Cricetulus griseus: one gene and its partner. The protein of the gene in region 1 interacts with the protein of each later gene in a biochemical or structural test. Links are inferred from orthologs where the notes say so. Each region holds a gene or a part of one and is shown on either strand. Other genes may lie near its edges.

Region 1 (4,441 bases):
CCTGCAGCTGGGATTGTGGTCTGCATCATTAGACTGGGTTCCTCTGGTGTTTGTGAAAGGGCAGTGACTTGTAAAGTGCAAGAACATTGACATCTGGGGAGTTGTGAACTTGGAGTCCATCGTGTCAGGTGGACTCCTGTCCCTTTCCCTCCTTGTTTCTTTTGTTTTTTTTTGAGGCAGGGTTTTCTGTAGCCCTGGCTGGCCTCAAATTCTCTGGATGGCTGTTGATGCTCGCCTTTGCCTCTTGGGTACGGAGGTCGTTCGTGTGCACTGCTGTGCCTGGGGAATGCAGTTCTGGGGATTAGATCCTACACATGATGCCTGACAGGCAAGCTCTCCACTGACTGACCTCTCAGCCCTACCTCGTTTATTCCTTTTTATTTGACACAGTTACTTGAATTTTCTTTGATGGCTATAACTGCTATTAACCCCATTAGTGTGGTTCTTAGAAGTCATAGCATCACTATTTTGATGAATATACTACTATGGTTGATTAGTTCTAAATCATTTGTTTTTTTTTTTTTGTGGTGTGTTTTATGCATGTTAATTTTAGCTGCTGTGTCAACATGTAAAAAACTCTGAACTTTGTACAGTACAATTCCTAAACCATTATTTATTAGTACTTTTTCTGCTGTAATTTTTTTTTTTTAAATATATCAGGCTTTAACTATTTTGTTGTTTGTTTTCGAGACTATAGGGTCTCACTATATAGCTCTGGCTAGCCTGGAACTCACTTTGTAGATCAGGCTGGCCTTGAACTCACAGAGATCTGCCTGCCTCTGCCATCAGAGTGCTAAAGTGCGGCGATTAGAGGTGTGTGCGATTAAGCCTAGCCAGGCTTTAGCTACTTTGGTCCTTCTACTTCGATGATTTGAAAAGCAAGAAGTTTATTTGTATATTGACTTAAGCTGCTAGTGAGGCCTGCAAAACTTTCTGAAAGACAAGCCAGTGAAGCAGCTGTATGTGGCATGTTTACGCTGTGCTCTGTCTTGTACCAGGTAGTGACACTATGGTACCGATCTCCAGAAGTGTTGCTGGGATCAGCTCGTTACTCCACCCCTGTTGACATCTGGAGTATAGGCACCATATTTGCAGAACTAGCAACTAAGAAGCCGCTTTTCCATGGCGATTCAGAGATTGACCAGCTCTTCAGGATTTTCAGGTAATTGTGTTTTATACCTAAGCTATTAAAAGCTTATAAGGTTAAATAATAAAGCACCGTGTATGTGATCCCATTTTGTTTCTTTCAGAGCTCTGGGGACTCCTAACAACGAAGTGTGGCCAGAAGTAGAGTCTCTGCAGGACTACAAGAACACATTTCCCAAGTGGAAGCCGGGGAGCCTCGCATCCCATGTCAAGAACCTGGATGAAAACGGCTTGGATTTGCTCTCAGTAAGCCAGCTGTGCTTTACGGTTTGAGTGTAGTGTGCTTGCATGTTCATAGTGAGTGACACAGGAGTGACTGAACATACTCAGTCCTGGAGGCAGATGTGGCGTTAGGTGCCTCTAAGATAGGAAGTGCTGGTGGTCCTGAGTAACCTTCAGGATTAGACTTTATCACTTCTCGATCGGCAGGTTGCTGTGGATACACTGCATCAGGGGCCAGGGCTCACACTCACACACTGTTTTAGTTGAGAGTGTGTTGCTGAATCCGAATGACTCCTTTCTGGCTGTTTTGTGTGTTTATCATTCTGCATTCTGTTGACAACTGCTTGATTTGATAATTTGAGTTATTCAGGCTTTTTACAGCGTAAACACCGTTTCTCAGGTCTGGCCTAAGAAAGGCTTGGAAAGACTAATGTAGTTTTTGTTTTTTTCCGTTACATTGCTGCACCCAGTTAGTTATTTTCTTTAAAAAATAATGCAAAGAACAGAATTACTGTTAAAACCTACTTTAGGGAATTTGTTGTAGGTAGAGCGGTATTTAAATTTTAATTTATAAAAGGAATCAAATACATACATGTTCCACTTCGTCTTTCAGCTGTTACAATCTATAGATTGTGTCACAGATTTGTCCAAGCTCCAGCCTTTATACATTTTGCATATTAATATCCTGGGCCCAATCTTCTGGTCATGTCTAAAGTTCCTATCTCTTGTTTGTTTATTTGTTTTATGGTTTTAGGCAGGAGGGGGTTCATGGATGGAAGGTAGGGTTTCCATGGGGGTTGGCCATGAACTCTGCTGGGCTATATCCTTAGCTCTCAAGTCTTTGAACATAAAAACTTTCACTTAACAAAAGTTAGTTCTGTACACCAATTTCCTCAGTTGAGCTGACACCCTGAGCTAGCTAATTCTTGCTGTGGCCCTGTCAGTTGCTGGACATTGTGGCAGTGTCATTGTCCTCTAAACTATCAGAAGACTGATGTGCTACAGTCAGCAATGTCTGTATCCTTGGCAGGCCCCTGAGAAGCAAGATTTCCCACAGATGGAAACCACTAGATTATTGAGTGGACTTGGCTTCAGATTTCAGTTTATTTCTCCCCACATTTACAGATGTGGGCAACTTTCTTAATGTCCTGAAGAGATGTGGTGTCTTCATCTGGGGAGTACAGCATATCTCTCTCCCTTTTGCTGTGAGGATTAACTGACATGTCCTCAAAGCCTTCATACAATTCTGAATGAGTACAAGAGTTTAATTGGTAACTAGTTAGCAAGTATCTGTAGGGCCTGAGGCTATAGCCCCGCCAGTGTCATGCCCAGCATGCAGGAAAACCTTGGGCTTGATCTCTAGCTCCATACAAACCTGGTGTGGCACCTGCCTATAATCTCAGCATTTGGGAGGTGTAGGCAGGAGGATCAGGAGATTCCAGGCCATCCTTGAATCACTACATTGGTTGGGGTAGGATGTTATTGACTTAATTTTCTCTGAAGATAATATGTGTGAACAAACTAAAATCAAATACTTTCTCTGGAGTTTATAAATTGGTTTACTGTAAATAATCCATCTATTGTAGCTGTGTTTATAAAAACACATCGTGGGTGTTTTCCTTTGGTTTGGGCAAGTGTCGTCTGGACACTATCATGAAACACAATAGTTGATCACCACCTTTTCAGGAATGTTGTGAATAACGGACGTGTAATTCTCAAGGTAGATATAATTAACTGTAATGTATGCTTTGTATTTACGTCTGTAATGTATTTACGTATTTACATTACGATAATGTATTTACGTCTGTAAATGTATGCTTTGGTTTTAAAGCCATCTGAGTGTTTATTTTATAATTTATAACAGAGGCTACCTGTTAATAATCTTATAAGTTATAACAGAAGTCTGAGTTTAGCATCTTGGAGGGGAGGGGTAAGAGGGCAGGCTTGGTAGTGAGCTGGTGAAGTTAAGATCCCCCTAAGCAGGCCCTCACTGAAATTACTAATATGGCTCACTGCTGGAAGAAGCTACAGCTTATGGGATTTTAAAGGGCTCATTTTCTAAGTTTATTTCTTCTTTTTTTTCTCTCCAGAAAATGCTAGTCTATGATCCTGCCAAACGAATCTCTGGCAAAATGGCCCTGAAGCACCCGTACTTTGATGACTTGGACAATCAGATTAAGAAGATGTAGCTTTCTGTGGAGTCCCTGCTTGCTGTGGCAGGGCCAGATAGTGGCATTTACTGTTGGCTCTCCTCCTGTCTTGTATATTTTTCTGTGGAGTCCCTGCTTGCTGTGGCAGGGCCAGATAGTGGCATTTCCCGTTGGCTCTTTTCCTATCTTGTATATTTTTCTTCTGTTTGTTTGTAAACCATCACCTGGACTTTTCTTAATTTCATACATATAACTTAATTAACATGTAAATATTATTCCATATGAATTTAAATATAATACTTCTGTATATGTGTAGATCTCACTGTGGTGACTGTTTGTTACTGTAACAAAAGTAGAAGTGTTGCTGCAAGAAACTGTGGAGACTTGAGTCATTCCAGACTCACAGCAGCTATTCCTGCAGCTGGGACCATGTAATCTAGGATCTGAGTTTAGCTTTCATGGTGCTTTGGAGTACCTTCGTCGTCTGGGTACTTAAGTTTTCTTGTCAGTTTCTGGCTGTATGGAAACTACCGTCTGCCTTCCGAGTGTTTTCTCTACTTGTGTTTAAGATTGGATAAGGCCCAAGATCTGAGCGGTCTACAGGGCTTTTAGTAACATAAAACCAACATGTAAATGTACCACAGTGGGCCAGGTTTTACAGCTAGAGACCAAGGGCTGTCCAGAGTAGAAGGACAGTTTCAGAAATTTATGAAGACTCGCTATTTTTAGGGTTGTTGTGAAAGCTGTTTGTCCAGTTGGACTCCTATGTAACTTAGAGGGGTTGCCTTGGTTTCCAAGTCTAACTGGAAAACTGCTTAAACTCCTTTGACAGTGTTGTTTATTAGCAGTGTCTAAAAATGTTCTTGTCCAAATATTTAGCTGAAACTACTCACTTTGGGAATTATGTTGCTCAGTGTAATTCC
Region 2 (4,146 bases), on another chromosome or scaffold:
CACACACAATCTTGTAAATTCCTTAGGAAATGGGGGGAAGGACGCGGGACTCTGCCCTCGTACAACCTCCCGAGGCCCTCGGTTCCTTTATTTTTGTAGCAAGCAAGGAGGCTCTACATTTGCAGTTCCTTTTCATAGATGAGGAAACTGAGGCTCAAGGAGGCTCGGGCAGACGGCGGGAAGCAGGATAAACTCTTGGAGGACTGTGGGGCCAGCAAAGACACTTCCGTGGGTCGGGTTGTCAGGGTGGCGGGGAACGCGGCGGGTAAATATTTGGGGCGGTAACCTGGGCTCCAGCGACACAAGTCGTCACTGCGGTTCCCAGTCGGCGGGCGCGTGGCGAGGGCGGTGCCGGGGTAGGGGATGGGGGAGGACAGGGGCGTCCCCTAAGTCGTCTGGAACAGACTCCGCCGCCGTCCCTCCCCGCCCCGCCCGCCCCGCCCCTGCCGGTGGCTATAAGAAGGTGCAGTTGGGGGTGGAGGCGCAAGCGAGGAGCGAGCGCTCGGCAAGGAGCGAGGCAGGGCCACCGGAGCGGAGCGGACTGCAGTGCAAGGCGGCAGCCACCAGGGCCAGCACCTCTCAGCATCTCTGCCACGCGTGCGGCGAGCAACCTCTCCATGAAGCCGCCCTCAACTCAGGGCAGCCCTGCTGCGGCCGCAGCCGCAGGTGAGTGCCGCGTTGGGGGTGCCCGCTCCACCTCTGAGCCCCGGGATCGAAGCTAGGGACTCTGTCCATCTAAGCTACACCCCGAGTCCCGGGGCCCCTGAGAGCCCGAGCCTGCAGGTGGGGCCGAGAGAACACCGGTCGCGACGGTCCCTTTCCACTGCCCATCCTTCCGTCCTCCGTCACCCCGGCACCCCATCCCCTGGTCGCACGGTCCGGGCCGGTTCCGTTTGTTTTCCCACGCGGGACAAGATCTGAGCCTGACACGTAACGGGTGCTCGCTGACTCAGGCTTCCCGCCGCCACTCGCTCCAGGGAGTGAGCGTGGGCACAAGTAGGAAAGCGCGTGGGGTGGGCTAGGTGCCTTCCAGGCTTTCAGCTCCACCCACGGAGGCTGCTGCTCGTCTGTGTCTGGTGACAGGCGCCTTGGAGGGCGGCTGTCACTGGGGGTGCAGTTAGCTATCCTAGTCCGGTGACCGCCTCTCCAGATCCCCCACGGGCTGGGGAAGAGTCACCCCCACGCACGCTCCCATCAACTGAATGCTCTGTGCCCGCCCCCAGCCCCGGCCATGGACTCAGCGGCTGCTGCAGACCTGACGGACGTGCTGTGCGAGTTCGATGCTGTGCTGGCCGATTTTGCATCGCCCTTCCATGCCCGCCACTTCCACTATGAGGAGCACCTGGAACGCATGAAGCGGCGCAGCAGCGCCAGCGTCAGTGACAGCAGCGGCTTCAGCGACTCGGAGAGTAAGTGAGGCACTGTTGAAGTCTGTGACCCCAGGGCTCAGGCTTCCTAGGGCTCTAGGTTAGCTGGGCTGTCTGTAAACTGAGCCTCGGTGTCCAGGAAACTCAGACCCGAGGCCCTGCACCGGCCCTGAGAAGCCCGGAGAGTTGACTTTCTGAGATTTAAACTCAGGAGTTAAACTCAGGGGATGGTGGGGGAGTGGGGGGGCATGGCCGAAATCATACGGGAACTCTTGAACGACTTTGGGTCTGCCTGCCATGCAGGCAGGTGTCTGCCATGAGGCCTGAGGGTTTGTGCAGTCGACAAGAACTCCTGGGACCCCAGCCAGGTCTTCTAATAGTTTACCCGCTTTTCTCCCAGCTCTTCATTTTTTTAAAAAAAAAAATTTATTGAGACCCTCCGGAGGAGACCTGTGTAGCCCAGGATGATCTTGAACTTCTGACCTTCCTTCCTTGGACTTCAGGATGTTGGGATCACAGAGGAGTGCCAGCATGTCCAGTATAGGCAGTCATGGGGGTTTCTTGCACTCTAGGTCAACCCTAAACCAACAGCACCCCCCCTTTCCTTTTCCAGAATGGGTGTTTGAGGACTTGGGGACAGGGCAAACACAATAATGAAACATTTGTGAAACCAAAATGATTTCATAAGCTGCCGTTTTTTTGGAATTTTTGAAATAACTTCATTCACTTTCTTCTGAGCTCCCAGGCTCTTTCACCACTCCAGGGGATTTTGAAACAATCCTCCCCCTGGACTGTTGAGTTAGTTCAGTTACTGTTTGATGCAGGCCCTCCCTCCAGGTTGCCAGTAGAGGTTTACCCTGGTAACCTTTTCCAGTAGAAAGCAAACCCGTGGAGTTGGAGTTGTATTTCAATAACTCAAATGACCTGCAAGATTCTGGATATTTGTTTAGGTGTCCAACAGTGAATTTGGAGACTTTATTGTTACATAATTGGTTTTCAAACCCTGGCTTACCCACTGGTTTTCAATGTGAATTTTAAATTCTGTTTATTTGTAAGCGCTTAGTCCCTAGATAGGCTGCAGGCGCAGACATCACCCCACTGATCCTGGGAGGAAAAGGCATGTTATTTTGAAACCTAGAGAGTTCTTCTTTTTGAAGATTCCATGTGAGACCTGCACCTGAGCTGTCCTCCTGGGAAGGGACATTGGCTGACATCCTGGTCAGGGTTTGAGGCAGAAACCTGAGCTCTAGTTTGATCTTCCATAGCGGCCTGCATAGACCACTGTGTGACTTAGGAGGGGGATGGGAGAGGGTGGGCGAGCTGTTCTGGTCCATTTACAACTTTTGCATTTTGATGCTACTGACCTGATTGCTTATTCCCAGCATTCCAAGCAAAGCCTTGCATTGGAAGTCAATACCTGTGGCATAACTTGAACATATCTCCTACCACTGGGTTGACGGACAAGTTATTCATCATGTATAATTGCTCTTCTTCACAAAACACAAGGCTGGGTCTGTTACTGCTGCACTGTGGCCAAGGACAGCTCCTTGCTACACCAGAGTCTCGTGCAGTTATGGCGGAAGCACCCACAAGTTCTGCCAGGGGGGATTTCAGATCTAGGATGTGTTTTTAGGAGTCTTAGAAAGAGAATGCACTAGAGACACTTTCTTAGCAGTTTGGGAGACAGTTGATAGAATTTGTTAATTTCCTTAGGGTATATCTGTGCATAGTTCACTGTCTGCTTTCGTTGTTAACCTTACGCTTTTAGTGTGGTGTTTGGGAAGTAATGGGAAGGACCTAAGACCTTGGTTTGTTCCCCGTGTGACTGCTCAGAAATAGTCTTGTTGGGATTTGTATGTATCTAAATAATGCTTTCTTAAGGACAAAGAATACATATGTCTTAATTGTCTCCAGGAATGGAGCACAGACATTTGTTAGTCTGTTTGGAAGAGGAGAATACCTGGGTGAGATGCAGCCCACTGAAACTTAACTCTCTAGAGAGGGCCCGCCAGGGTTATAATAATGGCAGCAACAGCTAGCTTACTTTTACCGAGCCCTCGCTAGGGTTGCTATAATCAAAATTTGTTTGCTCTTGTTATCAGTCATCTCTAGCTGTTCTTTGAATGTTATCACACATAATCCTTACCACAGGTTAGGTACTTTGATCTTCATCAATTTCTTTGATAAAATAGCAGACCACAGGCTGGCTGTCTATGGCCTTGCTCTGTCGTCACAGAATATGAACCAGAACTTGGGAGTAGCCTCATGCTCCATTGTGCTCAGATCATGTGTCTTTATACATGGTATTGCAGGTCCTTTTCAAGGTTTTCAGGATCAAGGGTCAGTGGACATAGGTGATGAATATTCCTGACTTTTGAAAAATACCTTTTTTTTTCCCCCCTAAAAAATTAGGTTGAGTTTGAGGCCAACCTAGTCTACAGAATGAGTTCCAGGACAAGCTCTAAAGCTACACAGAGAAACTTTTTCTCAACAAACAAACAAACAAACAAAAATTAGGTTACAGGACTAGAGATATGGTGCTGGGGTTAAAAATTGCTGCTTTTCAGCTGGGTGTTGGTGGCACACGCCTTTAATCCCAGCACTCGGAGGCAGAGGCTAGGTGATCACTGTGAGTTGAGACCAGTCTGGTCTACAAGAGCTCCAGGACAGCCTCCAAAACCATAGAGAAACCCTGTCTCGAAAAACCAAAAAAAAAAAAAATAAAAAATAAAAAAAAAATTGCTGCTTTTCAAGAGGACCAGACTTCGGTCCCCTGGCA

The links.
Region 2: of the proteins of Cdk1 (region 1) and Rgcc, one has a biochemical effect on the other in vitro, tested with the Homo sapiens proteins (2 studies listed by BioGRID and IntAct). The link is inferred for Cricetulus griseus from reciprocal best matches to the Homo sapiens genes CDK1 and RGCC.

The regions. Positions count from the first base shown.
Region 1 is NW_023276806.1:268,286,655-268,291,095, forward strand, and holds the end of Cdk1 (cyclin-dependent kinase 1), read left to right. Parts: intron 1-998; coding exon 999-1,162; intron 1,163-1,250; coding exon 1,251-1,392; intron 1,393-3,458; coding exon 3,459-3,557; 3' UTR 3,558-3,835; downstream 3,836-4,441. UniProt on the Homo sapiens protein: Plays a key role in the control of the eukaryotic cell cycle by modulating the centrosome cycle as well as mitotic onset; promotes G2-M transition via association with multiple interphase cyclins.
Region 2 is NW_023276807.1:233,634,816-233,638,961, reverse strand, and holds the start of Rgcc (regulator of cell cycle RGCC), read left to right. Parts: upstream 1-1,231; coding exon 1,232-1,409; intron 1,410-4,146. UniProt on the Homo sapiens protein: Modulates the activity of cell cycle-specific kinases. Enhances CDK1 activity. May contribute to the regulation of the cell cycle. May inhibit growth of glioma cells by promoting arrest of mitotic progression at the G2/M transition.